Rattus norvegicus: one gene and its partners. The protein of the gene in region 6 interacts with the protein of the main gene of each other region in a biochemical or structural test. Links are inferred from orthologs where the notes say so. Each region holds a gene or a part of one and is shown on either strand. Other genes may lie near its edges.

What was found.
Region 1: of the proteins of Pml (region 6) and Ube2i, one has a biochemical effect on the other in vitro, tested with the Homo sapiens proteins (13 studies listed by BioGRID, with this or other methods). The link is inferred for Rattus norvegicus from reciprocal best matches to the Homo sapiens genes PML and UBE2I.
Region 2: the proteins of Pml (region 6) and Mapk7 form a complex in vitro, tested with the Homo sapiens proteins (2 studies listed by BioGRID and IntAct, with this or other methods). The link is inferred for Rattus norvegicus from reciprocal best matches to the Homo sapiens genes PML and MAPK7.
Region 3: the proteins of Pml (region 6) and Eif4e form a complex in vitro, tested with the Homo sapiens proteins (4 studies listed by BioGRID and IntAct). The link is inferred for Rattus norvegicus from reciprocal best matches to the Homo sapiens genes PML and EIF4E.
Region 4: the proteins of Pml (region 6) and Chek2 form a complex in vitro, tested with the Homo sapiens proteins (2 studies listed by BioGRID, with this or other methods). The link is inferred for Rattus norvegicus from reciprocal best matches to the Homo sapiens genes PML and CHEK2.
Region 5: the proteins of Pml (region 6) and Sp1 form a complex in vitro, tested with the Homo sapiens proteins (2 studies listed by BioGRID, with this or other methods). The link is inferred for Rattus norvegicus from reciprocal best matches to the Homo sapiens genes PML and SP1.
Region 7: the proteins of Pml (region 6) and Daxx form a complex in vitro, tested with the Homo sapiens proteins (2 studies listed by BioGRID, with this or other methods). The link is inferred for Rattus norvegicus from reciprocal best matches to the Homo sapiens genes PML and DAXX.

What each region holds. Positions count from the first base shown.
Region 1 is NC_086028.1:14,791,755-14,795,254, reverse strand, and holds part of Ube2i (SUMO-conjugating enzyme UBC9), read left to right. Parts: intron 1-1,457; coding exon of another isoform or gene 1,458-1,468; coding exon 1,469-1,534; intron 1,535-1,661; coding exon 1,662-1,745; intron 1,746-2,575; coding exon 2,576-2,648; intron 2,649-3,500. UniProt on the Homo sapiens protein: Accepts the ubiquitin-like proteins SUMO1, SUMO2, SUMO3, SUMO4 and SUMO1P1/SUMO5 from the UBLE1A-UBLE1B E1 complex and catalyzes their covalent attachment to other proteins with the help of an E3 ligase such as RANBP2, CBX4 and ZNF451.
Region 2 is NC_086028.1:46,669,221-46,671,834, forward strand, and holds the end of Mapk7 (mitogen-activated protein kinase 7), read right to left. Parts: coding exon 2,302-2,614; intron 2,207-2,301; coding exon 1,533-2,206; intron 1,181-1,532; coding exon 1,047-1,180; intron 954-1,046; coding exon 800-953; 3' UTR 501-799; downstream 1-500. UniProt on the Homo sapiens protein: Plays a role in various cellular processes such as proliferation, differentiation and cell survival. The upstream activator of MAPK7 is the MAPK kinase MAP2K5.
Region 3 is NC_086020.1:229,739,253-229,743,552, reverse strand, and holds the start of Eif4e (eukaryotic translation initiation factor 4E), read right to left. Parts: upstream 2,801-4,300; 5' UTR 2,788-2,800; coding exon 2,770-2,787; intron 2,368-2,769; exon of another isoform or gene 2,296-2,367; intron 1-2,295. UniProt on the Homo sapiens protein: Acts in the cytoplasm to initiate and regulate protein synthesis and is required in the nucleus for export of a subset of mRNAs from the nucleus to the cytoplasm which promotes processes such as RNA capping, processing and splicing.
Region 4 is NC_086030.1:51,477,868-51,481,923, forward strand, and holds the start of Chek2 (serine/threonine-protein kinase Chk2), read right to left. Parts: upstream 2,801-4,056; 5' UTR 2,713-2,800; intron 2,055-2,712; 5' UTR 2,048-2,054; coding exon 1,720-2,047; intron 1-1,719. Other genes in the region: iron-sulfur cluster co-chaperone protein HscB, read left to right, coding at 3,504-3,736. UniProt on the Homo sapiens protein: Serine/threonine-protein kinase which is required for checkpoint-mediated cell cycle arrest, activation of DNA repair and apoptosis in response to the presence of DNA double-strand breaks.
Region 5 is NC_086025.1:135,418,557-135,422,849, reverse strand, and holds the start of Sp1 (transcription factor Sp1), read right to left. Parts: upstream 2,801-4,293; 5' UTR 2,763-2,800; coding exon 2,756-2,762; intron 2,612-2,755; exon of another isoform or gene 1,755-2,611; intron 1,414-1,754; coding exon 1,256-1,413; intron 975-1,255; coding exon 1-974. UniProt on the Homo sapiens protein: Transcription factor that can activate or repress transcription in response to physiological and pathological stimuli.
Region 6 is NC_086026.1:67,552,089-67,556,096, reverse strand, and holds the start of Pml (PML nuclear body scaffold), read left to right. Parts: upstream 1-1,208; 5' UTR 1,209-1,316; coding exon 1,317-1,373; intron 1,374-3,135; coding exon 3,136-3,599; intron 3,600-4,008.
Region 7 is NC_086038.1:4,971,473-4,974,720, reverse strand, and holds the end of Daxx (death domain-associated protein 6), read left to right. Parts: intron 1-105; coding exon 106-298; intron 299-458; coding exon 459-933; intron 934-1,049; coding exon 1,050-1,272; intron 1,273-2,372; coding exon of another isoform or gene 2,373-2,456; exon of another isoform or gene 2,457-2,524; coding exon 2,525-2,584; 3' UTR 2,585-2,748; downstream 2,749-3,248. UniProt on the Homo sapiens protein: Transcription corepressor known to repress transcriptional potential of several sumoylated transcription factors. Down-regulates basal and activated transcription.

The DNA of each region.
Region 1 (3,500 bases), on a different chromosome or scaffold from region 6:
ATGGCCGGGCAGCTGTGTAAGCTTGAGAGGCCCTGGCTAGGTCAAGAACACACAGTAATTCCTAGGGTAGTCATGGCTTTGCAGGTAAAATGGGCAGCCTGAGCTAAGTCTAAGTAGCAGGAACTCTAGGGATGTCTGCTTGAGGCCTGTCTGAGGTGGTAACAGGAGTGTGTTCTAGCAAGAATCTTGCTCTTGTCCAGAGGTAATTGAAGGTTCCACCTCAGAGTGAAGACTTTGAGCTGAAAACAAAAGACTAGGCTAGTGCTAGTCTTGCTGGGAGATTTTACCCACAAGACCAATAGAAGCCTGAAGCTGGGGTCAAAAAAGGAACCTCTGGGATTGGGGATTTAGCTCAGTGGTAGAGCGCTTGCCTAGCAAGCGCAAGGCCCTGGGTTCGGTCCCCAGCTCCAGAAAAAAAAGAGAAAAGAAAAAACGGAACCTCTGAGAAGCAATTCGGTATGAAACACCTATTGCCCTACTAGATTCTTGTTCATGAGGGGTCGTGTCCCTGTGATGCACACACCCCAAAATCCCAGTGCTCTGTAGGTTTGGGAGTCTCTGATTACTGTTTCATGTGATTTTTTTTTAAGTAATATTAAAAAGGATATAGAGGTTTAAAAAAAAAAAACCAAAAACCCAAGCAGGTGGTATCCAGGTTGGAGTCACAGTCAAAACAACAGGCTGCGGTCCTAGGTGAAGATGCTCCTTCACCCATGCTGAATGGAGTCCAAGTGTGCCAAGATGGTCCCTGGCAGAGGCTGCTGGCCTGACCTGGATCTTGCCTTCGTTCCCATAGGGTCATAGGGCAGATCTCTGAACTGTGAGCTGATAAGCTGCAGGCCGATAGTCTGGCCTCTTGGGGTAGTCTGCCTATGGAAGTTTGCCATGCTCTGCCCTATGGTGCGGACTTTTCTCACTAGTACATTTAGGAGTAGTGATTGTCCTCCTGTTGGACCTGATTCTAAGCCGGGGTCTCAGGGCCCTTGTTCCTGAACCCTCCTCTAACTCCCAGGCTAGTACTCTACCTTTGTGGTGTTTTATATGGTGCTTGGTGAACCAGCAAGACACATCCTAGCCTCAGATGAGTGTGTGAGGTACCTGCGAACCCCTACCTGTCCTGAGAGTTTGACTGTGGAGTGGGTGCTAAGTCTCGCTGATGCTCAATGCCTGCCAGGGAGGGGACAGCCTTTTTGCAGGCTATTCTCACTGTACCTCCCAGCAGTTGAGTTTGTAGAGCACAAGAGAGACAGCACTGGTGCTCTACCTGCCTGCCTGGAGGTGTTCTGAGGACTGGTCAAAAGTGCAATGCTCGCACTTGCTCCAAGGGCAGCTTGACCAGCTGGGCTCCACCTCATTTACCTGCTTCTTGGTGACAGCCCTCTCTGGCTGGGGTGGGATGTGGCTTAGAAGATGTGTGTGTGCTTTACCTAACCCTCCCTCTGTGGATTCCGTTCCAGGGACTTTGAATATGTCGGGGATTGCCCTCAGCCGACTTGCGCAGGAGAGGAAAGCCTGGAGGAAGGACCACCCTTTTGTAAGGAGCAGCCTGTGTCTGGTCACAGGAGGGGCTTTCCGTTGACTTGGTATACTCAGCCTGTGGCCACTGGGTGAGAGCCAGGCTTGTTGTCTTGAGCTGGTTTGTTTTGTGACTTCTTTCTCAGGGCTTTGTGGCTGTCCCAACAAAGAACCCTGATGGCACGATGAACCTGATGAACTGGGAGTGTGCTATCCCTGGAAAGAAGGGGGTAAGGGTGACCACTGGCTTTGTACCTACTAACTTAAGAGGTTCAAGGGAGCTGAACTACTATAGGGACCTGAGTACATGGATTTGTGACCACAGCTAGCCACAGGTCACAGCTCTCCCCAGGATAAGGAGTGGCCTGTGGGGTAGGGAGGCTTGGACCCTGGCAAATCATTGGATTGGTGACCAGCCTTGAGGTGAGGAGCTGGTGAAGGTCGTAAAGTGTCCACAGAGAGCACAGGCTGTGTTTCTTTACACACATTGACCTCAGTGCATCCAGTTGTCTACTCTTTTCCAGCCTATGTGAGAGGGAGGGTCTCCTTTAACTTCAGACATTGTCCAAACTTGGGCCTCCGGGTTCAGCTTAGTATCTGAGCAAAACCGTAGTTTGGGTTCATCTGTACAGGCTCTGTTGTGAGTGTGAGGTGGGTCTTTGACGTGCCAGGGTGTGCTTGTCTCTCAAGTCACGTTGGGGCATGGGCACTGTAGTGCTTCCATCACATGAGCTGAGAGTAGGAAAACCGTCTGGTGGCGAGTGGTGTGCTCTCCCCACCTTGATAGATCTGAGGTGCTGGCTTGAATAGTGCAGGTACGAGCTGCTGGGCTTAGCTTTTGTTTGCTGAGCTTTTTGGTGTCTCAGACACCCAAGAACTGTGGATCCTAAGCTTTCCAGCAACTGCCAAGCTCCTCATAGGCATGGTGGGGGTCTTCTTTGGTCCTAGGGGGACAGTAATAGTGTAGAGAACAGGCCCGAAGGACCCAGGTTTAAGGAAACTTCTCTTGGCTCACCTTGGCAAGTGAGCCACAGGTCTAACTCTGGTTCCTTCCCCACAGACTCCGTGGGAAGGAGGCTTGTTCAAGCTACGGATGCTTTTCAAAGATGACTATCCGTCCTCACCACCAAAATGTAAGTTGTGCAGAGAGCCGGCAGTCCACTTCCCAGTGCCACCCTTTGGGAGCCATGTCTATGGATGCTTGGTCTAGCAGACAGGTGTCAGTGCTGGGATAAAGTCAGTACTGCTGAGCCGGCTTGGATGACAAGCCAGGGTAGAGGCGCATATAATTAGAGTGGTCTCTAGTCCCAACCAATCGGGATGTACCACACGAGGCAGAGGGAGAGTTGTGTCAGGCTTAAGCTCCTGGGTGCTTTTGTGCCCACAGGTGCCACAGGGGAGTAGGAGAACAGGGGTCTGTAAGTTCCCAGTAGATTAGTTAGCATACATCAGGTGCTGAGTTCAATTCAAAGCACTAAAGGAGAGCGAAGAATCTCACTCATTCCCGTCTGTTGTGTTCTGTTGGATGCCCCACATCCCAGTAAGAGGCTGTGCTTGTGGCCTTCAGACCTGTTGTTAGAAGAGAAAGCTGAACTGATCTCAGTGCAGCACAACTTGCTTGGGTGTGCAGTGCCCACCACCACCATTCTGCCCAGGGTAAGGCCAGGTCTGAGCTGGTTTGTAAATAGAGATTTGCCTGCTGCAGGGTCCCCCAGGAGTGCTTAAACATGGCTTATTGGGAACCACTGGATGGAATCTTACCTGCTGTTTGGGATTTTCTTGTCTGTCTGAGTTCTTTTTGCCGTACTGTTGGTGATTCATTCATTCTTTCTTTCTTTCTTTTTTCTTTTTTTTTTCTTTTTTCTTTTTTTCTTTTCTTTTTTTTTTTTTCGGAGCTGGGGACTGAACCCAGGGCCTTGCGCTTGCTAGGCAAGCGCTCTACCACTGAGCCAAATCCCCAACCCTGTGATTCATTCTTTTAATTG
Region 2 (2,614 bases), on a different chromosome or scaffold from region 6:
GCCAATTCCTTACTGCAGACCCATCTGTGTAGGGCTACCCTCGACAGAGAAATACAGCACCTATGGCATTGCCAATCAGCTCAGGCATGGCCACAGTCACACCCCAGCACTCCCACAGCTCTCCTCAGAATACTTCCTACCTTGGTCTCATCAACTAACTCCCTTAAGTGAGCATCATGGAGCCCAAACCCATCTGCCTTCACTCATCCCTCAAAATTCAACACCAAGACCACACTCACCACAGCTGCTGCCCATCGACTCTGAAGGAGCCACGGCAAAGCAGCTTAATTTGGTCCCCTACTTCCCTAGGGATTGTCATGAGAGAGGCAGCAGAGAACTCTGGGGGCTGGGAGTGGTGGGAAGTAGAGGTCTCAATAAACCTTCAGGATCTGATGGCTTTGTGGACAAACATTTACTTGGCTCCAAATACGAGCACCTGGCTTTTCCTTATTCCCCTACTGTTGGGGTTTTACCCCAACTCCAACAATAACAGAGTCAGATTAAAGGAAACCTTGTATTTCACAGGCCTCATTTCGATGGCAAAACAAATGCATATTACAACAGTAATAAAAATACAACACTGGAGAAGACTGCGCAGGAAGGAGTAGAGCCTCCCATCCTGTTATGGCTCGGTGGTGGCTCAGGCGGCTGCTTAAGGCTGAACGGTGGGTCTGAGATGAACCTGCAGAGTAACTCAAGCTGAGCCTCACCTGCCAGGCTCAAGGCTGCAGCCCTCTGGACTGCACCCCTGGACCTTGAAGCTGGGTCTGTCCTGGCAGCAAGGCACAAGCTGTGGGTCTCAGGGTTCTTGGAGGTCAGGCAGGTCAGACAGCAACATTGGGGAGTCCATCTGGATCTCACGCTGCAGAGACTCAATGTCAGCGGGGTTCATGCCGTGGCCCTCAAGCCAGTCAGCAAGGAGGGAGGCTGAGAGTGAGGCTGAGTCTGCCTGGCTGTAAGGAAAAGAAACAGGGATGGTGTTCTAAGCCTTGGCTGGCTAAGCAGCCATTCAGACCCTCCACTAAAGCTCAGTCCAGCCATCTTACCTATCCTGTGGCCCATCAGCCACACCCATGTCAAAAGATTGGTTTAAGAATTCCTCCAGGTCAAAGCCAACACCGTAGCCAGCCCCACTGCCCTTTGGAGTGCCTGAGAACACGGGAGGCAGGGGGTCCTCCACCTGCAGGGGACAATAACAGGTTATAACACAAGTGCCAGGAAGGACAAACTGAGGTCAGCAGAGCACACCCTGATATTTCTGACTAGTCTGCCCAGATATCCTAGAGCATCAACACTGCCTTGAAATCACCCAGTGCTAGCGCAGGTGAGGCTGTCTCTAAGGCAGACATTTTCCAAGCAGCGTCCACCTCCCAACCACCTCTGCAATGGCCTTCTGTGTTCCTTCTATGAGCAAGGGGGCAGGCTCACGGAGGGAAGACTCCCTCTGCTGCTTCCTCTCACCCAACATGGACAACTACCCCACCCACCTTCCAGGACCAGGTCAAGATATCCTGAGCCTTCTCCCTTCTCACCTGAGACTTGGACAGTTGCTGGGTCACCAGGTTGACATCAGGTGACTCTGATGTAGAAGGCTGAGGGGTGAGCCCAGGATCTGGAGGTGGTGGGCCAGATGGGAAGTAAGGCAGAACTTCTGGGGCACCAGAACCAGGCAACCCACTAGGTGGCACAAGTGACTGGGAGGCCAAAAGGCTAGTGGAAGGGGCAGTCTGGAGAGGGGCAGGGACAGGGCCAGCAGGCTGGGGAACAGGCCCAGGGGGTGGGCAAACAGGCTGGGAGGCAGGACCAGGAATAGAGCCTGCAGGCTGTAGAGGAGCAGTAGACTGAGATACAGGGCCATTGGGAGGACTAGTGGGTTGAGCAGAGGACTGTGTTGGTGTTGGTGTTGGTTTTGGTGTTGGTGCTGGTGCTGGTGCTGGTGCAGGGACAGGAGGCCTAGCCATGCGAGTCCACCGCTCTAGCAGGCTTCGGTCATTGTCACTGAGCACCAATCCAGCCAAAGGGTCAGTAGAGGGGCCCCCCAAGGTGCCAGCCCCCCTCTCCTTGCGCTCCCGCTCTTGTCGTCGCTTCTCCCTCTCCTTGGCTCTCTCTTGTCGCCTCCTGCGCTTCTCTTCTCGCTCTCGCTGACGTTCCTGAGCTGTCACAGGCTTTCGAGGTTCAGGGGCCTCCAAGGGTGCACTGGGCCCATCTGCAGAAAAGTTGGAAGGTAAGGACTTACAGATCTGTCCCAGAATCCCTGCCTACCACTCCACTACCCACCCAGGTGCTGGGCCCACAAACCACCTCGAAGCCGGCTCCTCAGGGACTTGAGCAGAGCAGCTTTGAGGGCTGCTTTGGTATTGTCGGAGATGGCACCCTCTCTTTTTGGCGGAGCAAGCTCACTGGCGGGCGGGGCAGGCTGCAGAGTCAGATCAACAGTGTCAGGGGCAGGGCCAGAGCATGGTGGTAGTGCTGGAGGAGGTGACTCCATGGCACAGTCTCCACTTGGAGCCCAGGGGCTGGGCATCTCGACATCTGGACACACAGGCTCACTAGCCACAGGCTGCAAAGAGGGCTGGAAGCGAATTTGTTGGCGGATGCCCTCCCGTCGTGCATG
Region 3 (4,300 bases), on a different chromosome or scaffold from region 6:
CAATAAAACCATTTTCACTGCTACTTTCTAACTAATTTTGCTATTGTTATGAATCAATGTAAATATCTGTATTTTCTGGTGGTCTTAGGCAGCTCAGTCCTTAGACACCCCCCCCCCCGAAAGGGTCACACCCCACAGGTTGAGAACCAGTGTTCTAAGTGTTTACAATTAAATACTCTACCAAAACAAACAAAAAACTCACAAAAGCTCATAAGCTAAATAAAAATAGCAATGACCAAATAAGATTTTTAATTTTTACAAGCTTCAACTGTAATCCAATAGTAGACTAAATCATCTGTTTTTAAAAAGTACTAGTGTGCTCTAAGCCATGGGGATACCTCTAAGGTCTGCCCTGCACAGGACAGCAGACAACGTGGGCTTCTACATACAACCTTTCTGCCAAGCCTCTGAATAAAGTACTTCAAAAACAACGTACTGGTGTAGTTTAGTGCTAGAATAAACTTAGTAAATGCACCAGGTCCTGAGCTACAAATCAAGCATCCAAACCAAATCTTTTCAGTTTGGAGGGAATCCTGGAACTAGCTCTGTAGAACAAGCTGGGCTCAAACTCAAAGAAATGCCTCTGTCTCCCTAGTGCTGGGATGAAAGTAGCCCGCAGCCACCGCCCAGCTCCAAAAAAAAATCTTACAAATATTAAAATACTGTATGACTAGCCTCTAAGCAAGGGTGTGCTAACAGTAAACAGAAAATGAGCACCTCAGTGTCACTTTGCACACTGTCTCCAACTAGTTTCAACCCAAGTTCCACCCTTCACATGTTAGGCTTCTAGGCTTCTCTTGTCCTTAAATTTACACACACTATGCACATCAACAGGGTCATCAGTAGGAAGAGTATCTCACCTCTGAGCCTGACACTGGCAGTTAGGCTCCATAAGAGCTCACAAAGCACAGACCGCATTTTATATAACTTTGTATTCTAAATATCACTTGGTAACCACCCAAAAGGTATCAGCAACTCTGAGCTGACTCAGAACAAAATCCAATGACTACATTGTGGCTTTAGCACAATCCAAGACTTAAATGGAACTGAGAGTCATAGTTCACACTGCTGTTTTATTACTTAGGTCTTTTTAGTTTTGCCTCTATTATTACCTGTAATATTTTCCTCTAATACTGGTAGAGAAAGGTAGAAGATTCAGTCAGAAGTAGACGGCAGAACTTGTCAAGAGTTTAAGTTAAATTTAAATGCTTCCCCTCCTGTTCTTACATTGATATTCTAAAGTTAGTTAATTTCACTAACAACTTATTAGGCAGCTTTGCAAAATGCAGGAAAGCTGATGTCAATAAGGAACAAGTAAATCATGCCTCCACCCACAAAAAAGTAGTCTTGAATTCTGCCAAGATAAGGCTGTTTTGCAAACTAATCAAAATTATTCAGTCTATGGGTGAGTTTTAAAAATATCTGGCAAAGGTGGTATACAAAGGTTTCTGGTTGCTAGTCTATGCCTTTTTGCACCTGAGATTTTTATCACACAGGTGTGACATTCTTTAAAAATCTGGGATGGAAGACCAGTGAGCCAGCTGCCGGCAAACCCAAACCACAACAAAAACAACAACAAAAAAAATCACCACCTTCTGGCTACCGGGTTTACCTACGTGATGCTCTCTGTGCATCTTGCTTCAATTAACTTCAAAATAGCGCTTTAATTAAGAGGGAAGCAGTGTAGAGTGAGGAGGAATCATCAGTGGAAAAGCAGATGTTGAGGCGCTTAAGTGATGGTTCGGAAAAGGCTCCTGAATTTCGATTCTCAGGACTCCAAAAGCTGCCCTCTGACCTTCACACTCAAGCCCTGGCTCGCGCCGCTGCCCCCACGCTTAATTTTCCTTCCTTTAATTAAAGAAAAGATAATCTCCAAAGTTCCTATTTCCAAAATTAGTGTTCCTTGAGTATCTCCCAGACGATCTCCTCGCGTAAGAGTAGAAGAATCTACACGGTCCTCGGAGGCGTGCGCACTGCGCCGGGAGGATGAATGAATGGAAGCCCGGCGCGTGTGAAATGCAGGTCTACGGCCAGCCGACCCGCTGGAGCGAACTGTAGGCCTCGCTCCTCCCCCTTCCCTCCTCCATGACAGCCCAGTCCCGGCGTGGAGGGGCCAGGACAATGTGATCACCTTCTCGGCCGGCCCCCTTCCCCGGCCCCCGGAGGTGCGCGACACGACCCCTGGGCGTGCTCTCCACTCAACGCCACAGCCCCCAGCTCCCCGCGGGACGCGCTCCCCTTCTTGCCGCGCCCCGCCCGCCCGGCCCCGCGCGCCCACCGGCTCCGCCAACCCACCCTCCTCCACAGCTTGAGAGCGCGGCCCGCACGAGGACCCCGGCGGCGGGGCGCGGGCGACGGCGAGGCGCCGCTGCCTCAGGCTCCCTCTGACTCTTTCAGGCCAGCTCGCCGCCCACCCGCCCCGCCAACCACGGTGCCCGCTAGGAGCCGCCCGCCCCACGCCCACCGGGACCCCAGACCGATCCCGCGCTGGCGGCCCGAGCCGCCCTCCGCCGGCCGCACCGCAGGGCCGCGCGGCGCCCCTCCCCCACCGACCCGGTGCCCGGGCCCCCACACGGCGTGTGCGCTCCACGCTGCCGCCGCCAGCCTCCCGGCGCCGAGGCTGCCCGCGGAAGGTCAGGCCGGTGGGAAAGGGGCAGGACGCGGCCGGAGGCGCTGTGCGCGCCGGGAACGCCGTCCTGCGGACAGTCCCTGAGCGGAGGAAGCCAGAGCGCGGGGACCTCGGGGGTGGGGGCCGAAGGCAATACTCACCGGTTCCACAGTCGCCATCTTAGATCGATCTGATCGCACAACCGCTCCTGAAGGGGGGGCGAGAGGAAAAAAATGAGATTCAAACCGGATTGGCCGGCTCCTGCCCACGTGACGGACGTGTCCGTTTGGCCCTGGCGGCGCCTGCGCAAGACTGCAGCTGCTTGGGGAACAAGAGGCTTCTGGGAAGTGGAGTCTCTTTTTTTTTTTTTTTTTTTCTCTTAAGGCAAGGAAGTTTTTTCTCCCAAAAAAAAAAAAAAGTGATCACGTGGTCGCTGGCGAGGGTGCGCGGCTCCCAGCGCCGCCCGCACTTCCTGCAGAGTAGGTTTTAGGCCTCTGCGGTGCAGCGGGCAGAGCTCCGGTTGCTCTCACTGCTGGGCATTCCTGCTGTGCCCTCTGTCGCCCAGTCCTCCCATCTTTCCTAGAAGGTTGAGAACTGCAGGCTCAGCACACGCAAGAAGGCTTCATTTGCTTAGCTGAGGTCCTAAGACAAGTTGCTTGTGTTTTTATTTAGTTTTCTTTTCGCCTCCCACCATTTTCTCTTGGTTTCAGAAAGAGGCGGCGATGGAGAGTCGTTGATGAGGTCTGCGTTCCCCCGTCCCCGGTCCACTAACGCGGGTGGTCCCTTGCTGCCATCGCTGCCCAAGCGGGTGGGCGGGCTTGCCCACGGTACCCACTCACACGCTTGGGGAAGGGGAGTGCACGCGTCGGCTTTTCCTGTTCCCAGTCCTGAGATGAAGGCGTCAGGGGTGAATCTTGCTGGACGTAAAAAGTTTGGAAAGTTCTGTCCAATCGGTTCCAGTATTCTGCTTGGACGTGAACGGAAATAGCCTACGTCCAGGTGCCAGCCAGGGAAGCCACTCCGGGCTCCGCTGACTCAGCCCTGGACTGAGGGTCAGGAGTCGTTAAGCCGGGTCAACTATGACTCTTGACGTTGACTCATGCTCCTTAGGCGAGTGACTTAATCACTCAGCGCCTCAGCTTTTTCATTTATGAACCAAAGATGATAATACACTTACCTCACAAGGGTGTGCTGTGGTAAGGACTGTAACCAGCTTTGAAAACGCTTCGGAATCTAGAAGCAAGCGCGTGCCTTCTAAGCACCGGCTGCCTCCGCCTCCGCTGCTGTTTTAACAATTTTTTTTCTTGACCCTGGGTCTCCTGTAGCGCACGGTGGCTTTGAACTTAAGATGTAGGGGAGGATGGTCTTGAACTGTTGATCCTCCTGCCTCCACCTCCCTGTCAAAGTACTGGGATTACTGGCACGTGCTGGTAGTGGGGGCGGGGAGAGCCCTTTTTTGCTGAGAGGGATGGAACTCGGGGCTTCGGAGTGCTAAATAAGCACTCTACCAACTGAGTTATATCCCCAACCCTTAACAATGTTTTAAATTTTTCTTTTGTTTACTTTGTTACGTACACCAATGCAGTTTTAAAGTTTCAAGACTTTGCTTTTCTTTACGAATGTCGCTGCTCCCAACAGAAACTTCATGTTCATGAAATTATGTTCATAACAACTTCTAACAAGCAGAAATTT
Region 4 (4,056 bases), on a different chromosome or scaffold from region 6:
ACTAAAGTGGGATAGTAGAAACTACACACAACAGAGTACACTACCTCATCTACAACCTTTCATCCAGGAGGTGAGGTGAGAACAGCCGGCCTGGGGACATGAGAAAGTAAGTGTGATTGATGGTTAACCTCGACTGTCCACCTGACTGAATCTGAAAACTAAGGGACAGACCTCTGGGTGGGTCTTCGCAGTATCAGCTGGAAGGAAGAGACTTTACAACAGAGTGGGGCATCACGTTCTATGAGCCAAGACAGAAAGGTCCGAGGGGGAAAGGGTTGCCTGCTTGCTTGCCTGCGCTTCTCGCTGGTAAGTGCGTCTGTTTCATTATTTCTGCAACTTTCCTTTGCCACTTCTCTCCACTACAGAGTGAAGATCAGCAGCTCTCTAGGAACCCTCCAGGCTGCCGGTGCCAAACTGGCACCGCTGAGACTTGTGCACTGGGCAGCTACTAGGTTTTAAGTCTCTCCATCATGAAGAGAACTATTAATGGATGACCTGGACCATATTGTATAAACGGATCTAATAGACACCCCCCTTTCCCCAGTTTGGGGTTGCTTTGTTCTGTTTTGTTGAGGATTTTTTTGTTTGGTTTTTTGTTTGTTTGTTTGTTTGTTTCTTTTGAGACAGAGTTTCTCTATGTTGCCCTGGCAATCCTGGAACTCCCAGGCTACCTTCAAACTCAGAGCTCATTTTGCCCCTGCTTCCTGGTACCACCGCATCTGCGCTAATCCAGATCTTTTGAGGTGGGAAGATCCACCTTTAACCTGGACCACCGCTGCTGGCAGCCTATATAAAGGACAGGAAAGAAGGAGGCTTGCTCTCTCTTTGCCAGCTTGAACTCACTCTTACGGGCAAGTTCATCCCTCCGCTAGCATTAGAACCTACTCCTACAGGATTCTAATGTATACTGAAGACCAGCTAAGACATCCTGCTTTGTGGACTGAACAACTACCAGATTCTTAGACCTCCCATGGGTAGCCATTGTTGAATTAGCTAGACCACAGCAATGTAAGCCACTCTAATTAGCCCCCATATATGCACATATATACACATACATACATACATACATACATACACATACATCATTCTATCAGTTCTGTTCCTCTAGTGAACCCTAATACAAGTATCTTTCCAAACTAGCTCAGGATGAGTTGGAAATCCACATTCAAATGAATAAATTTGAACCATGTGTGGTTGGCATGTGTAATCCCAACTAAGACAAGATCAATGCAAGTTCAAGGTCACAAGGAACTACATCGTGAGTCCCAAGCCTACCTGGGCTGCAGAATTCCTTGTCTCACCAATGAGTAGAGCCTGGTAATGTGTGCCTATAAACCCAGCACTTGGGAAGTAGAGGCAGGAAGACCAAGAGTTCATTACCCAGGCTGAGCAACGTAGTGAGTTCAAGGCTAACCCAGGACAACATGGGACCTTTTTCTCTGAAGAAAATTTTAAAAAAAATTTGAGGCCAGCCTATGAAATCTAACAAGATTCTATTTGAAAATAAAGATAAGGGAGCCAGGGATAGCTTAGTCTAAAACCTCTCTACCATGCGAGAGGCCCAAATCTGATCCTCAGTATGAAGTGGCAGCCAGGAGGAGACACTCTCCACCACAGCCAGTTACAGGGGCCCTGAGGTTTCTGCTACAACAACCTAATCACCTTCCCTGACTGTTTCTCTCGACAACGCACTATATATTATATTACCAAGTGCCTTACCTAGATTCGAGAATCCATCCTGAAGAGCCCATAGCCGAGCCCAAGGAGTAGGTCCAGGCTCTTCCGGTTCTTGGTCCTCAGGAATAGAACAGAGTTCCTGAGTAGACACTGTCTCTAAAGAGCTCAGGGTCCCAGAGCTGGAGTGGGAGGACTGGCTGGAGGATGGCACTGTGCTGGTGGAGGAACTGGATGCACCCTGATACTGTGAGAGGTCGTGCAACTGAGAGGGGGTGCCTTGGGACTGGCTGAAGCCGCCTTGAGACTGTGAACAGGAAGCACTGTCATGAGCCTTCGAGGAGGTGCTGCCGTGGGACTGATGACTCTTCATATCCGACCTTGAGAGCACGAATCCAACAATAAGGAACAAGGCTCAGGACTCAAGAGTAAAGAACGGAAGCTGGAGAGATTGGTTGGGCAGGAAGAAGCATATACTATTCTTGCAAAACCCAAGTTCAGTAAGTTCTCTACACCTAGTCTGGCAGCTCAAGGTTGCCTGTAACGCCAACTCCGGTGGATCTGAAGTAGATCTCGGCCTCTGCAAGCACCAGAGCATGTATACATTCCCACCCACATAACATAATTAAAAGTAAAGTGAATCTTTACCCAAAAATTAGGTATGTGGCTATAACTCAATGGTAGATGGTGGAGCCTTTCTCCAACAGATGCAAAGCACTGGATCCCATTCCCGTATCGTCAAACATCCAAACTGAAGACAGTTAAAAGTGTACAATTCCCAGCACCCACAACCAGAGGATCACAAACACCTGTAATTCCAGCTCTTGGGGGATACAGTGCCCTCTATTGGCCCCCGTGTGCACTGCACAAACTTAGACACAGACACGTGATTTTTTTTTTTTTTTTAAATAAAAGTTTAAAGGAACAGGCACATTATGACCACCTTAAAAAGAAAGGCAGGCCCAATGATGGGTGAAAAAAAAAAAGTGACCACAGCAAAATCCCAGGATTATGAATAGAATTACAGAGGCCACTTACAAAGCGTTAGACCATCTTCCTTCATGTACAGATGCTGTTTGGTTGTCTCCTATCCATTCCTTGCCATCCTACCCCACACGTATGCTGAGTACGCTGACGTACCCTCTTCAGTTCCTGCAGAGCCTAGCAGCGAAGATTGGGTTCTCAGTTGGTATTTGGGAAAAAGCAATCTAGGGGCTGGCATGAACATTTATAATGTTCGTTATGAAAACTACTTCGCTCTGGCACCAAACAGCCCAGCGTTGTACCTTCCTATGTGTCCAGACCTGTTTCAGCTCGCAAGTAACAAGGAAAGTGAACTTCCCCCCAGAAGGGCAGATAAAAAGAAAGGGTTGCCTATGCACAGCGCCCCCTCGCTCGCACGAGTAAGCAGACAAAGCGGAAGCTGCGGAGGGCCCATTTGCACAAATAACCGGAGAACGGTATTCGAATCCTCAAACACTCAAACAGAAAGTTCCCCAGTTATGACTCACCGCCCAAGACCACCAAGAGCTACAAACACTCCAGAGCCGCAGCCAGTGGTGTGGCGCTAAACCTACCGATACAAACTCCACCCTCAGCCAATCAAAAGGCCTTCCTCCTCGGCAGGACCAATAAGAAAGCCCAAAGGTGGCTTCCCCCGCACAGCCTCTAGGTTTTCTGGGAGTTGTAGTTTAGCTTCCAAAACGGGACTCGGCGTCTTGGTTTCCCGCAGCTGGTCCCGCCTCCTCGGCTCCCTAGCCAATCAGCAGCGAGCCACTTTCTTCCCTTTTCTCCGGTCTGGTAACCCGGGCCAGCAGGCGGCCTTACGAATGTGGAGCTGCAGGGCTCGGTCCCTGCTGTGCGTGTGGGAGGTGCGACTGGCTAGGTTCCTTGGTAGGAGCCTGCTGAGCAGCAATGCCGCCTCGGGAAAGAGCATCGAGCCGCAATGCTGGAACTGCGGCCGCGCGATGGGAGCCGGGCGTGGGGATGAGTTTTTCTGCGCACACTGCCGCGCGCTGCAGCCTCCTGACCCCACTCGGGACTACTTCAGCCTCATGAACTGGTACAGGCGGCGCGGTGTGACTGGAGGGCGGCTCAGGCTTCGTAACCCTAGAGATCAAGGCTTGGGGCGGCGTCTGCGGGCCTGTAATTTCCAGCCAGCTCGTGGGAACTGAGGCAGAAGGACCACAGTTCAAGTCTAGCTTAGACAATTTGCGGAGACTGATTCAACTAAAAGGCTAGATAAGTATATAGGTCATAGGTATGCCTGTGATCTAAGCACTTGAGAAGTGGAAGACACAGGTTCAGGAATCCAAGACTAGCCTCTGCTACAAGGGCCTTGTTTTTAAACTTCAAAAAACGGAAACGGACGAGTTTACATTT
Region 5 (4,293 bases), on a different chromosome or scaffold from region 6:
GATCCTCCTGATGTCTGGTTCTGCTGGATGTTTAGAGAATCAGACCCTTGCAGCCCACCAACTCTCTGGGATGTCTGGCCTTGAGAACTAGTCCCTGATGATCCGCTGCTGGTAAAGTTCATAATTCCCATGTTGCTGGTGGTGGTAGTTGTTGAATAGCTGTTGGCATTGGTGAAAAAGGAGCTGGAACTGGCTTGTGATGACACCAAGCTGGCAGAACTGATGGCAGTCCCTGAGGTGACAGGCTGTGAGCCACTCTCCTGGGATCCAGAGCTGCTGATCGTGCCTGCCTGAGAGCTGGGAGTCAGGGTAGCTGCAGAAACGCTGTTGACAGGTAGCAAGGTGATGTTCCCATTCAGGGCCACTGGTACATTGGTCACATACTGAGTCTGTCCTGAGAGCACATTATTAGCAAGGCCTTGGAGGGGGACAGCTTGCTGGAGTAGATTTGGCATAGCAGCAATAATGTTGCCCCCACTTCCTCTATTTGTGATGATCTGTTGATTTGCACCTGGTATGATCTGTATTTGACCAGAACCATCCTGCTGCACTTGGGCCCCAGTGGCAGCAAACTGCAGCTGTTGCCCATCAACAGTCTGGAACTGTGGGATTACTTGATACTGAATATTAGGCATTACTCCAGGTAGACCTGTCAGAACTTGCTGGTTCTGTAAGTTGGGGGTAGCAGCCACAACATACTGCCCACCAGAGACTGTGCGGTTCTTGGAAGACTCACTGCCATTGCTGCCATTGGTACTGTTGCCACTCTGTTCCTTTGAGGTAGGGGTAGCCCCAGAGGAGGAAGAGATGATCTGCCAGCCATTGGCACCCTGTGAAAGTTGTGTGGCTGTGAGGTCAAGTTCACCTGTGCCCCCTGACTGACTCGGACCCTGGGAGTTGTTGCTGTTCTCATTGGGTGACTCAATTCTGCTGCAGGTTGCTGCCAGCAGAGCCAAAGGAGATGGCTGGGATTCCTGGCCAGAAGAGAGGAAAGGAGTTAGTGGCACCCAATAGCTGGCCTAGGGGGCAGTATTCAACAGACAAACAGCAACAATGCAGGCATATAAAGAGCAAAAACCAGAAACAAAATGCTAACTTCTGTGTACTGTTCCAACTTTCCTATTTGGGGACCCTCTAGATCACCTATCTTTCTGTGTGTACTTCCCTACTGTACTTTCTCCCAGAGTTTTTGGTTAAGGAGGTTTCTAAGAATACTTATACCCTTTCAATACCTTCCCCATCTTTGATCACTCACCTGCCCTCCTCCGCCACCACTGCTGCTGCTACTGCCTGTGCTGCTGCTTCGAGTCTGAGAAAAGGCGGCACCACCACCGTTCCCGCTACCCCCGTTATTGCCACCAACACCTTTTTCAATCTTCACAGCTGTCACTTCATCCATTGAGTGATCTTGGTCTAAAAATAATTACAAAACAAATAAGTTGAGGGGGAAAAACATTAAGATTTAAAATTAACGTTTTGACCACCAGCAATGACTAATAAAATGTTTTTTTTTAAAGGTATTAGTCAGATACAGCTAGTTATGGTGGTAGGCCTAAAATCCCAGTATTTTGGAAGTGGAGACAAGAGTTCAAAGAAATTCTCAGTTACACATTAAACTGAGATGCCAAAGCCATAGGCATGCAGAGCAGGCACATGGCTTAATGGTGTCCAAGACAGGTCACTATTTTCCCAGGCATAAATTAACCCCAGAAATGACTCAAAAATTGCTTTGGAAGCCAGGCATGGTGACTCACACCTATAATCCCAAGACTTGGAAGGATGAGCCAGGTGGTTCTAGGTCTGCCAGACCTACAGAGTAAGAACTGATCTCAATGCAAACAGCACTTTTGAGGGAATTTGAGAGCAGTGTCTCAGAAATTAAAAAAAAAAAAAAAAAAAAAGTGGGGCCTAGTGATGGCACACTCTAATCCCAGCACTCAGGAGGAAGAGGCAGGCAACTAGGTAGCTAAAAGTTTGAGGTCTGCATAGTAACTTCGAGTTACTACGAGTACCACATAGACCCTATCTCAAAAAGAAAAACAAAAAAGCATCCTGGAAGGAAAAGGAGACCCAACACATAGGTGGATGGAAAGTGGGCTAAAATTAGGACTAAAAGAGATGGAGACAGATTAAGTGTAAACAAAAACAGGAAGGGGCCGAGAAAGGGTAAATTGTAAGTGGAGGTGAGGAAACATCTGAAGAGGGCAGGTAAGAGGCTAAAATGGTTTAGGGCTTAGAACCCAGGTTTGGGGCTGAGGGGCCGGGCCATAGAAGGAAGGGGCGGTTTCGGGGTTAGGGGCGTGGCAAGGGCGGGTCGGATGGGGGAAGGGAAATTTACGGGGGTGCGGGGGAGGGCCTGGAGCAGGCTGGGACCGGAGGGCGGACCGGGGAGGCGGTTGGCCCAGGCGGGGCCTGCACTGGTCGGGCCGCCCCCGCGGCGCCAGCCCCCGACAGGAGGAGCCTCAGGCGGCCGGCCGGGTAGTGGGGGGTAAGGCCCGTCCCCCGTGGCCGGGGCGGGCAGGGGGCGGGCGAGGCCAGGCTGCCCCCTCCCCCGGGGCGGGTAGCCCATCCCCCTCCTCCTCCGAGGCCCCGCCACTGCCCCTTCTCCCTCCCTTCCCTCCGCCCCGGGCGGGACCAAGGCCGCCGCCGCCGCCTCCCGCCCGCCCCCCCTCACAGCGGGGACCGCCCGGTCGGCCCTCGCGCGCGCCCCCTCACTCCCCTCCCACCCCTAGGCTTGGAGTGGACTCATCCTTACCGCTCATGGTGGCAGCTGAGGGGCGAGCTCAAGGGGGTCCTGTCCGGGGGGGTTGGGGGGGGCCGGGAAAAACGCGGACGCTGACGAGGCAAGCGAACCCGGACCGGACAGGGAGGGGGGGGTAAGGAGGAGGGAGCAGCGCGCCACAAGCCCGGCCTAGTCCCCGCCCCTTATCTGCTGCCCCTCCCAATGAAGGAGGGTGAAAGGAGGGACTTGCAGAGGAAAGGCGGGCAGTCTACCCAATGGCAAGACTCGCTCTCTCTCTGAGGCGTGTAAGACCAAGTTGCGTGCCTGGTTTCCGCCCAGAAAGGCCGCCCTCTCAGTTTTAACAACCAATTAGAGACTCGGGAAGTGGTGATGGGCGGGATGAGAAGATGGACTTGCAGAGAAACCAGTCAACCACCAGGCGGGCTCCGTGAGCGGTGGGGATAGGAGGAGATTAGGTAAGAAAGACAGGACAACGACCAACCAGAATCTTGGGCATGCCTGGGCAAAGTCCGTTTAGGAGAAGAGTAAGAAATAGGCCGGAATAGGACAGGATCAAGCTTTCTAAACCAATCAGAATTCAGGCGGGCAGTTAAGAAAGTTCTGATTGGACAACAACTGAAAAGAACCGGAACAGGGCTCATATTGACGTGAATGAACAGCCAATTAAACGCCGAGTAGAAGGTGAAGGCTGGAACTTGGAATGGGGAGAGGAGAACAGGCTTCCCCCTCAGATACTCAGGCCAATGAGGCAGCGAAAGCAGCCTGGCACCGCCTCTAGCTTTGGCCAATAGTCGTTAGAGGGCCGCCCCTCATGAGGAGGGAACCGGGCTGTGCCAAGTGGAGTTGGTCGCCATGTTGGCCCTCCTCAAGAGGCTTCTTTTCCTCGTTAGGTGGTACGCTTTAGCGGAGCCTTGCAGTTCCACAAGTGTCAGCGCTGAGACGCGCGAGGGCGAGGGTGTCGCGTCACCCGGGACCGTTCGAGTTTTCCCTTCACCGCTCCTACACAGCACCTCTCGAATGTCACCCCTGCCGGGATGGGCGGGCGGCTCCCCCTCGCCGTGGGTGGAAGCCCTGTGGCGGCGGGCGGGACGACAGCTTGGTGACGGCACACGAAAACCCAAGTCCACTGAGCTGAAGGCTTTTGGGAAGCTCTAGCAAACGCCATTTTCTTAAGCTGCCCCAGACACGCTAAACCACGGGCCAGGCAGGGTTCACTCCCATCACTCGGCTTTGAGAATGACGCACTCTGGAGAACTTCGTGAAGCCAAGCTCTCAAAATACTCAATTTACCCTCCTAGTAGAAAGCACGGTAACCTACTTTTGCAATCAAAAAGGTTAGAGAATTTGCCCTAGGCACCTCAATCTCTGGCCTCCATTTTGCCTCCTTTCTCCTTGTTTAATAGTTTGTCATTGACGGCTGTCACCACGTTTAACAATTGGAATTAATATAGTCACTGCATTATCTACAGTTAAGCACTTAATGTGTCCTACATTACGGAGCTGGATCCGCCTTTAAAAAACTGAAACACTTTAAAGATAGGAACTGAGGT
Region 6 (4,008 bases):
CCAGGATGCTGGGTTTCCCTTTAGCACCCAACTCGCCCCAACTCTTAAGTTACACCATCCCTTCTAATCAGTTAGAACAGAGAGTAGGGTGGATGCACACAGGGGCCAGAAAAGTGGGTGGGAACAGACTGAAGTCAGAAGCCAAAGGCACTGTCCAATGAGAGTGTCTGCAGTTGTGTGCTTTCCTCACTCACTGGGTTCTGAATTGCTTTTCATTGGCCAAAAAGCTAACTTTCTATCTTCTTGTTCTTTTCACTGCTGCTGGCCAGCTCCTCCCTGACTTCTCTACCTCCATACAGAGCACATTCACCAGACCTATTCGTCACATCATCCTGTTCTGTCATCACTGTCCTTCCACTGACTCAGGTCTGGCTGCCTCCCACAACCACTTTTCATAGGCCACCTGCCTCAAGGTCATCCGAGAGACAAAGTTGACACTTTGTAGCAAACCCTTCACCAACTCTCTGATCATATACAGAACTGGTTCATCTCTCATTTTATGATTAATCTAATCTTCTCTGACATCATCACAGGAGCCCCATCTCAAGTCTGAAAATGGTCCTAACTACTTCCCAAACTGGCTCTCTTGTTTTAGACCTCCACTCCTTTCCAGGTGCGTGCCTCTCTTTAGAGTGTCCGTGCAACCCTGAATCCCTGGTGATTTTCTATCTCATGCTTCATTCTCAGCTGAGGGATGCCTTTCCAGGCAAACCCATCCCAATACTGGGTCGACGTCTCCATTTAGGGTCACTTGGGGGCTCGCTCAAAGAGGGGGTTTATTTCTCTACCTGGCTTTTAACTAGAAAGACACAGAACTGTGAGGTGAGTTGAATAGCTCCCAGTCCGGGAAATAAACGCCTCTCTGTTAGGCAGTCAGCTCTGCATCTCTCCTAGTGTGCATGCTGAGTGCGTGATAGGATCTTTACTTGTAGAGCAGTCAAGCTCGCGAACATTCTGCTACAGAGCTGTGCCAGCCTGCCGGGCTTGTTTACGTGCTTGTTTGGTTAACCTTTCTGGCTCTATCTGAGTTTGTTCCATAACTTCGCAGTCTTTCTCTTAACTTTAGAAGGGAGACTACAGAACGAGCCTCTCCGCCCCTAGACCCGCCCAGTCCTGTCTCACTTCCTCTCGGGAGGCGGGCCCTCCGCGGGCACCTCCCCGCAGCTCACTTTTCTGGCTCAAGTCTGGGACGCATTTCCCGCCCTCACAGACCCAATCCAGAAATCGAAACTGAACCAGGCTCTACGCAGAAGGCGCCTGCACCCTCTGGATCTCTCTGTCAGCAACTGGATCCTGCCCTGATCCCCACGCCCACCATGCCTCCCCCAGAGGAACCCTCCGAAGACCATGAACACAGCCAAAGCCCCGCGGAGGTACTACTGGATTAGGAGATGAGGGGATGCTAGGGTTTTTTATTCGTTTACTTTGGTGGGGAAGTTGAGAACAGAGAAGGTCATTATAGAAAAGTGAGTTAGTGTCCTAAAGAGACACCAGGGTCCTGAACCCCCTGACTGGGCATGGATAGAACTGATAGCGTAGAATAAAATAGGAACAGGATGAGTTACAGAAGCCCTGGGGACAGTTGGGTTGCAACTCCTACTCCCTGAAGCCTTGCCCTTTATCTCCTATCTCTGCCATGGCCTGGAGCTAAAGGCATGTCCCAGGCATGGCAGAACTAACTATAGCACCCCCACCCCGACCCACACACAAACACTTCCAGTTTCTCAGCAGTGGTCGCACATCCCAGGAGCAATAGAACTTGGGATGTGGGAGTTGGAGGAGGATGACAGGTTACAGGCCAGCCTAGTCTACAAAGAGAGTTCAAGACTGCCGAGGGCATCACAGCAAGACCTGTTTCAAAACAAAACAGAACAAAACCTGGTCCAGATCAAAGTGCCTGCTAAAACCAACATGATCCATGCAGAGTCAGTCTCTCTCTCTCTCTCTCTCTCTCTCTCTCTCTCTCTCTCTCTCTCTCTCTCTCTCCATACATTTATTTTATGTGTATGAGGTGTTTAGGGATTTTTATTTTATTTTATCGTCTTGAACACAGGGTCTCACTTTGTAGTCTTGGCCTAGCTGGAGCTCACTGTGTAAACCAGGTTGGCCTCAAACTCCTAGAGACCACCTGTCTCTGCTTTCTGAGCTCTGGGATTAATGTATGCATCCCCAAGGTCATGGGTCTTTTCCTAAGGAAGCCTAGCTCATGGTCCTCCCGGAAGTATTGCCTCAACCCCCCCTGAAGGAACTACCCCCATCCCGCTATTCTTCATTCCTTTTTCTCTTGACAAAAGCACAAATAAGGCCACATTGCCATAACTTTTTATATTAGCGTTGTATAACTGAGGGTTAAAAATACTAGTTAACATTAACGGGTACTTCTCATGTGCCCAGTACTGTACTGAGAACTTTGGACCATTTACACACCAGCTCTACCTTTTGTATCTATGAACTAACTAGTCTTATTGTTTAGTATGACTGGAATTACACAGTATTTCTCATTTTATAGCAGGCATATTTCATTTAACACAATGTCTTCAAGGTTCATCCAGGTTGTTGAATGTATCAAAAATTTCATTCCTTTTTAAGGTTGAATAGTATTTCGTTACATTTGCAGCCACGTGTTGTTCACGTATTCCTGTGCTAATGGACACTTGGGTCACTGTGACTTTTGTGGTGGTGTTGCTAGCTAGGCACATTAGTATATAATTATATGCCTGGATATTTTTCCCAGTTCTTTTGAGTATATATGAAAAGTAGAAGTTCTGGTGGTTTAAGTCTAACTTTTTGAGGACTATCCCACCAACTGTGTTAAGCACTTTATATGAAGTTGGTACTTTTCCAGACTCGAGTTCTTTAAAGGCAAAGATGTATCCAGTCTTGTATCTCAGTGTCTACTAGTGAGTCTGAGGATAAGTAGATGGGAGTCCAGTAAATTGTGTGGCGAGAGCTGCAAGGCCTCAGTAAATGAGGAACTGGGCTGCCGATAAGCCAGGACAGGATCCAGTGACTCCCAGGAATGGAATGTGAGGTCCTACCTACTCCAGCCTCCAGCTGAAGGAATGGGTGGCCAGTGGAGGGGACAGGACTTTGGGGCTTTCTGTAGGCCTCACTTCTCTCTCCTTGGTTCACCAGCAAGCCATAAAGGAGGAATTTCAGTTTCTGCGCTGCCCGGGCTGCCAGACCCAAGCCAAGTGCCCCAAACTGCTGCCTTGCCTGCACACGCTATGCTCCGGATGCCTGGAGGCGCCCGGCCTGCAATGCCCGATCTGCCAGGCACCGGGGTCGGCCAATGCTAATGCGGAGGCCCTGGATAACGTGTTCTTCGAGAGCCTGCAGCGGCGCCTGGCGGTGTTCCGGCAGATTGTGGATGCGCAGGCTGCGTGCACTCGCTGCAAAGAGTTGGCTGACTTCTGGTGTTTCGAGTGTGAACAGCTCATGTGTGGCAAGTGCTTTGATGCACACCAGTGGTACCTCAAACACGAGGCCCGGCCCCTGGCCGAGCTCCGCGACAACTCAGTGCGCGAATTCCTCGACAGTACTCGCAAGTCCAACATCTTCTGCTCCAATACCAACCACCGCACTCCTGCGCAGACTAAGTAAGTGAGGCATCCTGGAGCTGGGGGTGGGGGGTGGGGGGGAGCTTCAGGGAACTGTCACTCAAAATGAGGTCCGCTGGCTCGTAGGCGTTTCTAATGCCCCTCTTGGGGGAAAAATGTGATGTGTAAAAACAGTACATTTTAGTATTTGTCACCACCGAACTTTAGATGTCTTAAGAGTAGACTTTGGGGTTGGGGATTTGGCTCAGTGGTAGAGCGCTTGCCTAGCAAGCGCAAGGCCCTGGGTTCGGTCCCCAGCTCCAAAAAAAAGAATAGAAAAAAAAAAAGAGTAGACTTTTCCTTTGGAGGCCCCAGGAATCTCAGTAAGCTGGATAGGGGCAGGTTAAATAGTGTTTGAAAAGTTGAAACTACAGCCTCAGGGAGTGCTATCTGAAAATGACTACATGCA
Region 7 (3,248 bases), on a different chromosome or scaffold from region 6:
GTGACGTGCTTGGGTAGCACTAGTAAGGTCCCAGAGTCAAGTCCTCATACTACCAAAAACCTGTGTGGCAAGGGATTCCTTAAGAGGGACTCCTCTTTCCCCCAGGGTCCTAGTGGAGTGGCATCCCAGGAGGACCCTACTACCCCCAAGGCTGAGACCGAGGATGAGGAAGACGATGAGGAAAGTGATGATGAAGAGGAGGAAGAGGAAGAGGAGGAGGAGGAGGCCACCGAAGATGAAGATGAGGATTTAGAACAGTTGCAGGAGGATCAGGATGATGAAGAGGAGGAGGAAGGAGGTATATGCATAACCGGAGCGCCCCTGTGGTAGAGGTTCTGCTCTGTCCGACATGACCTCCTTGTTGATCCTGTCCTTCCTCCTCCTCCCTGCACAGCCCCCCGACCCCTGTTCCTCTCTCCACCCCTGTTCCTCATTCCACCCCCCCTTTTCTTTTCCAGATAATGAAGACGATAAAAGTCCCACATCCCCTTCGCCCATTTTCCGCAGAAGGAACTCAGCACCCACAGAAGGGCTCAGGTCCCCGGAGGAGCAGCAGGAGAGAGGACTGACGGGGACGCCAGCATCCCCGCTGGAAGCATCCCCGGGCCTTCCCAGCACCGATGCTGAAAGCAGCGGCGAGCAGCTCCAGGAGCGGCTCCTGGCAGGAGAGAGTCCCGTGTCCCAGCTTTCTGAGCTAGACATGGAAGCTCTGCCTGAGGAGACCATCCCTTCCCCTGAGGAAAGGGGCATTTCCTCTTCCAGGAGAAAGTCAGACAGTTCCCTCCCCACCATCTTGGAAAATGGGGCAGCTATGGTTACCTCTACGTCCTTCAATGGGCGTGTCTCTTCTCACCCTTGTCGAGATGCCAGTCCCCCAAGCAAGAGATTTCGGAAGGAAAAGAAGCAACTGGGACCTGGGCCGTTAGAAAACAGGTAACGTCGGGTGAGGAAGAAGGCAGGCAAGGAGGCAGGATTCCCTGAAGGGAACCTGGTGTCCTAGGTCTCCCTGCGGCCTCAGGCCCCTTCTGTCATTTCTCTTCTGTCCTTAGCTATGTAAAAAAGCAGACGATGGCACAGCAGGACAGTGGGTGGAAGATAAGTGTCCTGTCTACTCCGTCCTCCCCCTTGGCCTCTGTGGGTCCTGTTGCTGATTCCTCCACGAGGGTGGACTCTCCCAGCCATGAGCTGGTAACCAGCTCCCTGTGCAACCCTTCTCCATCCCTGATACTCCAGACTCCCCAGTCTCAGTCTCCCCGGCCTTGTATTTATAAGGTAAGCTGGGGGGGGTTCCCCTGTCAGTTCATTTTCACCTTCTCACTCTCTGTGGGGGCTGCACCTCCTCTTTTTTCCCCCATTCGCCAGTGGGTAGTGCGTGCATGTGTGTACAGTGACAGTTTTGGAATTTTGGTTTCTTAAAACTCAGAGCTGGATAGTGGTGACACATGCCTTTGATCCTGGGAGGCAGAGGCAGGAGGATCTCTTGAGTTTGAGGCCAGCCCGGTTTACAAAGTGAGTTCTAGGACAGCCAGGGCTACACAGATAAACTGTGTCTAAACCCCAAAACCAACCAAAAACAGTGAAAGAGCTGGCTTTCATTTTAATCCCCAGTGTGGGGATGTGGGGCTGCTCCCAACTGATCACTGTGGCTGAATGTGACTCACTTTGAGCTCAGCAGAGCTGTGGCTTTGCCAGCTACAGGCAGTTGCTTTGGTTGTGTGAACATGATGGTTAGGAATTGTGGAACTTTTCAAGAGAGCGTAGAAATGGTAGACACCACCCCACCACCACCCCACCTCCTCCAAGAGGCATGGTGTGAGCTCAGGGGTTGGTTGTGGTATGTTAGTCTTGCTCAAAGAAGAGAGAAATTAGATTCAGAGATCCCTATCTCTCCCCTCTATCCTTCTTTCCTATCTAGTGATGGGGTAGATAAAGGGGAGGAAAAAACCCACAAAGTCTCAAAGACTGACTGTCTATGTGTGTTTAGATGTATTTTGCCCGGCATAGTGGTTTATTCCTGTAGCCCCAGCATCCAGGTGGCAGAGGCATACAGATGTCTATAACTTGAGTGCCACAGTCTAGTCTACTGAATGAGCTCCAGGACAGTCAGGGTTACATAGGCCGTGTAAAACAAAAAGTGATTTATTGTATGTAACTAGGTGTTCTGTTGGTATGTATGTGTGTTACATTTGTGTCTGGTGCTCATGGAGGCCAGAAGAGGGCGCCTGATCCTCTAGATCTGGAGTTACAGAGACAGCACTAAGTAGCCATGTGAGTCTTGGATACAGAACACAGGTCTCCTGCAGAGCAGCAGTGTGTCTAGTGGCCAAGCCATCTTCAGCCTTCCATCCTGCTTTGTTTTGTTTTTGAGACAGGGTCTCTATGTATCCGACTGTTCCAGAACTCTGTATATAACAAGGCTGGCCCCAGTCTCAGAGATGCCTGCCTCTGCCTCCTGAGTGCTGGAACTAAAGGCGTGGGCCATCATGCCTGGTTCACCCTTCCTTCTCTCCTGACTTGTCTGCAGACGAGTGTGGCCACCCAGTGCGATCCCGAGGAGATCATCGTGCTCTCAGACTCTGATTAGCAGTCCCTGCATCCAGAAGGGTTTCTAATGGCTGTTAGAAGATGACGGAGCAAATGATGGACAGAGCTCCTCCCGTTTTGGTGGTGTTTCTTTTGACAAAAAATCAGATGTTTTAAGTTTTACACAGACACATTAATAAACAATGAATTTCTTTTCTTATTGTATTCTTTTCTTAAATTGTCTTTCTCCTATGACAGCTGTCACCTGGATCTGCCCTTTCTAGCCTGGACCTCTTTTTAGGGTGCCCTCATCCTTACCCTTCTTTGAGCCTCCCTCTAGGCACTTGGAAAGATAAGTGCTTCAGAAGCCTTCTTAAGCCGCTTTACTTTCTTATTTTGAGCGGTATGAGTGAAAAGGCCAATCAGGGGCTGACTCAAGGTTATTTGACCAATCCTGGCCCGGAGGAAGAGGGCGGGGCTTCAGGGGTTCTGTCATACGCTGGGAAAAGGGCTGTTAGATCCCGCGAGCGAGCTAATGTCCAGGGCTCGGGGTGGAGCCTGAGGAGCGGAAGCCAGTACTGGTCAATGGGAAAAGGTAGGCTTGCAGGATTAAAGGGGAGCGAAGGCTTCGGCCAAATCAATTCCTGAGTCCTTAGCCGCAGATGGGACCCGGTACCTTTAAGGAGGAATGAAGAGCCGGTCCTTTAAAGGGAAAGTGTTGGTGT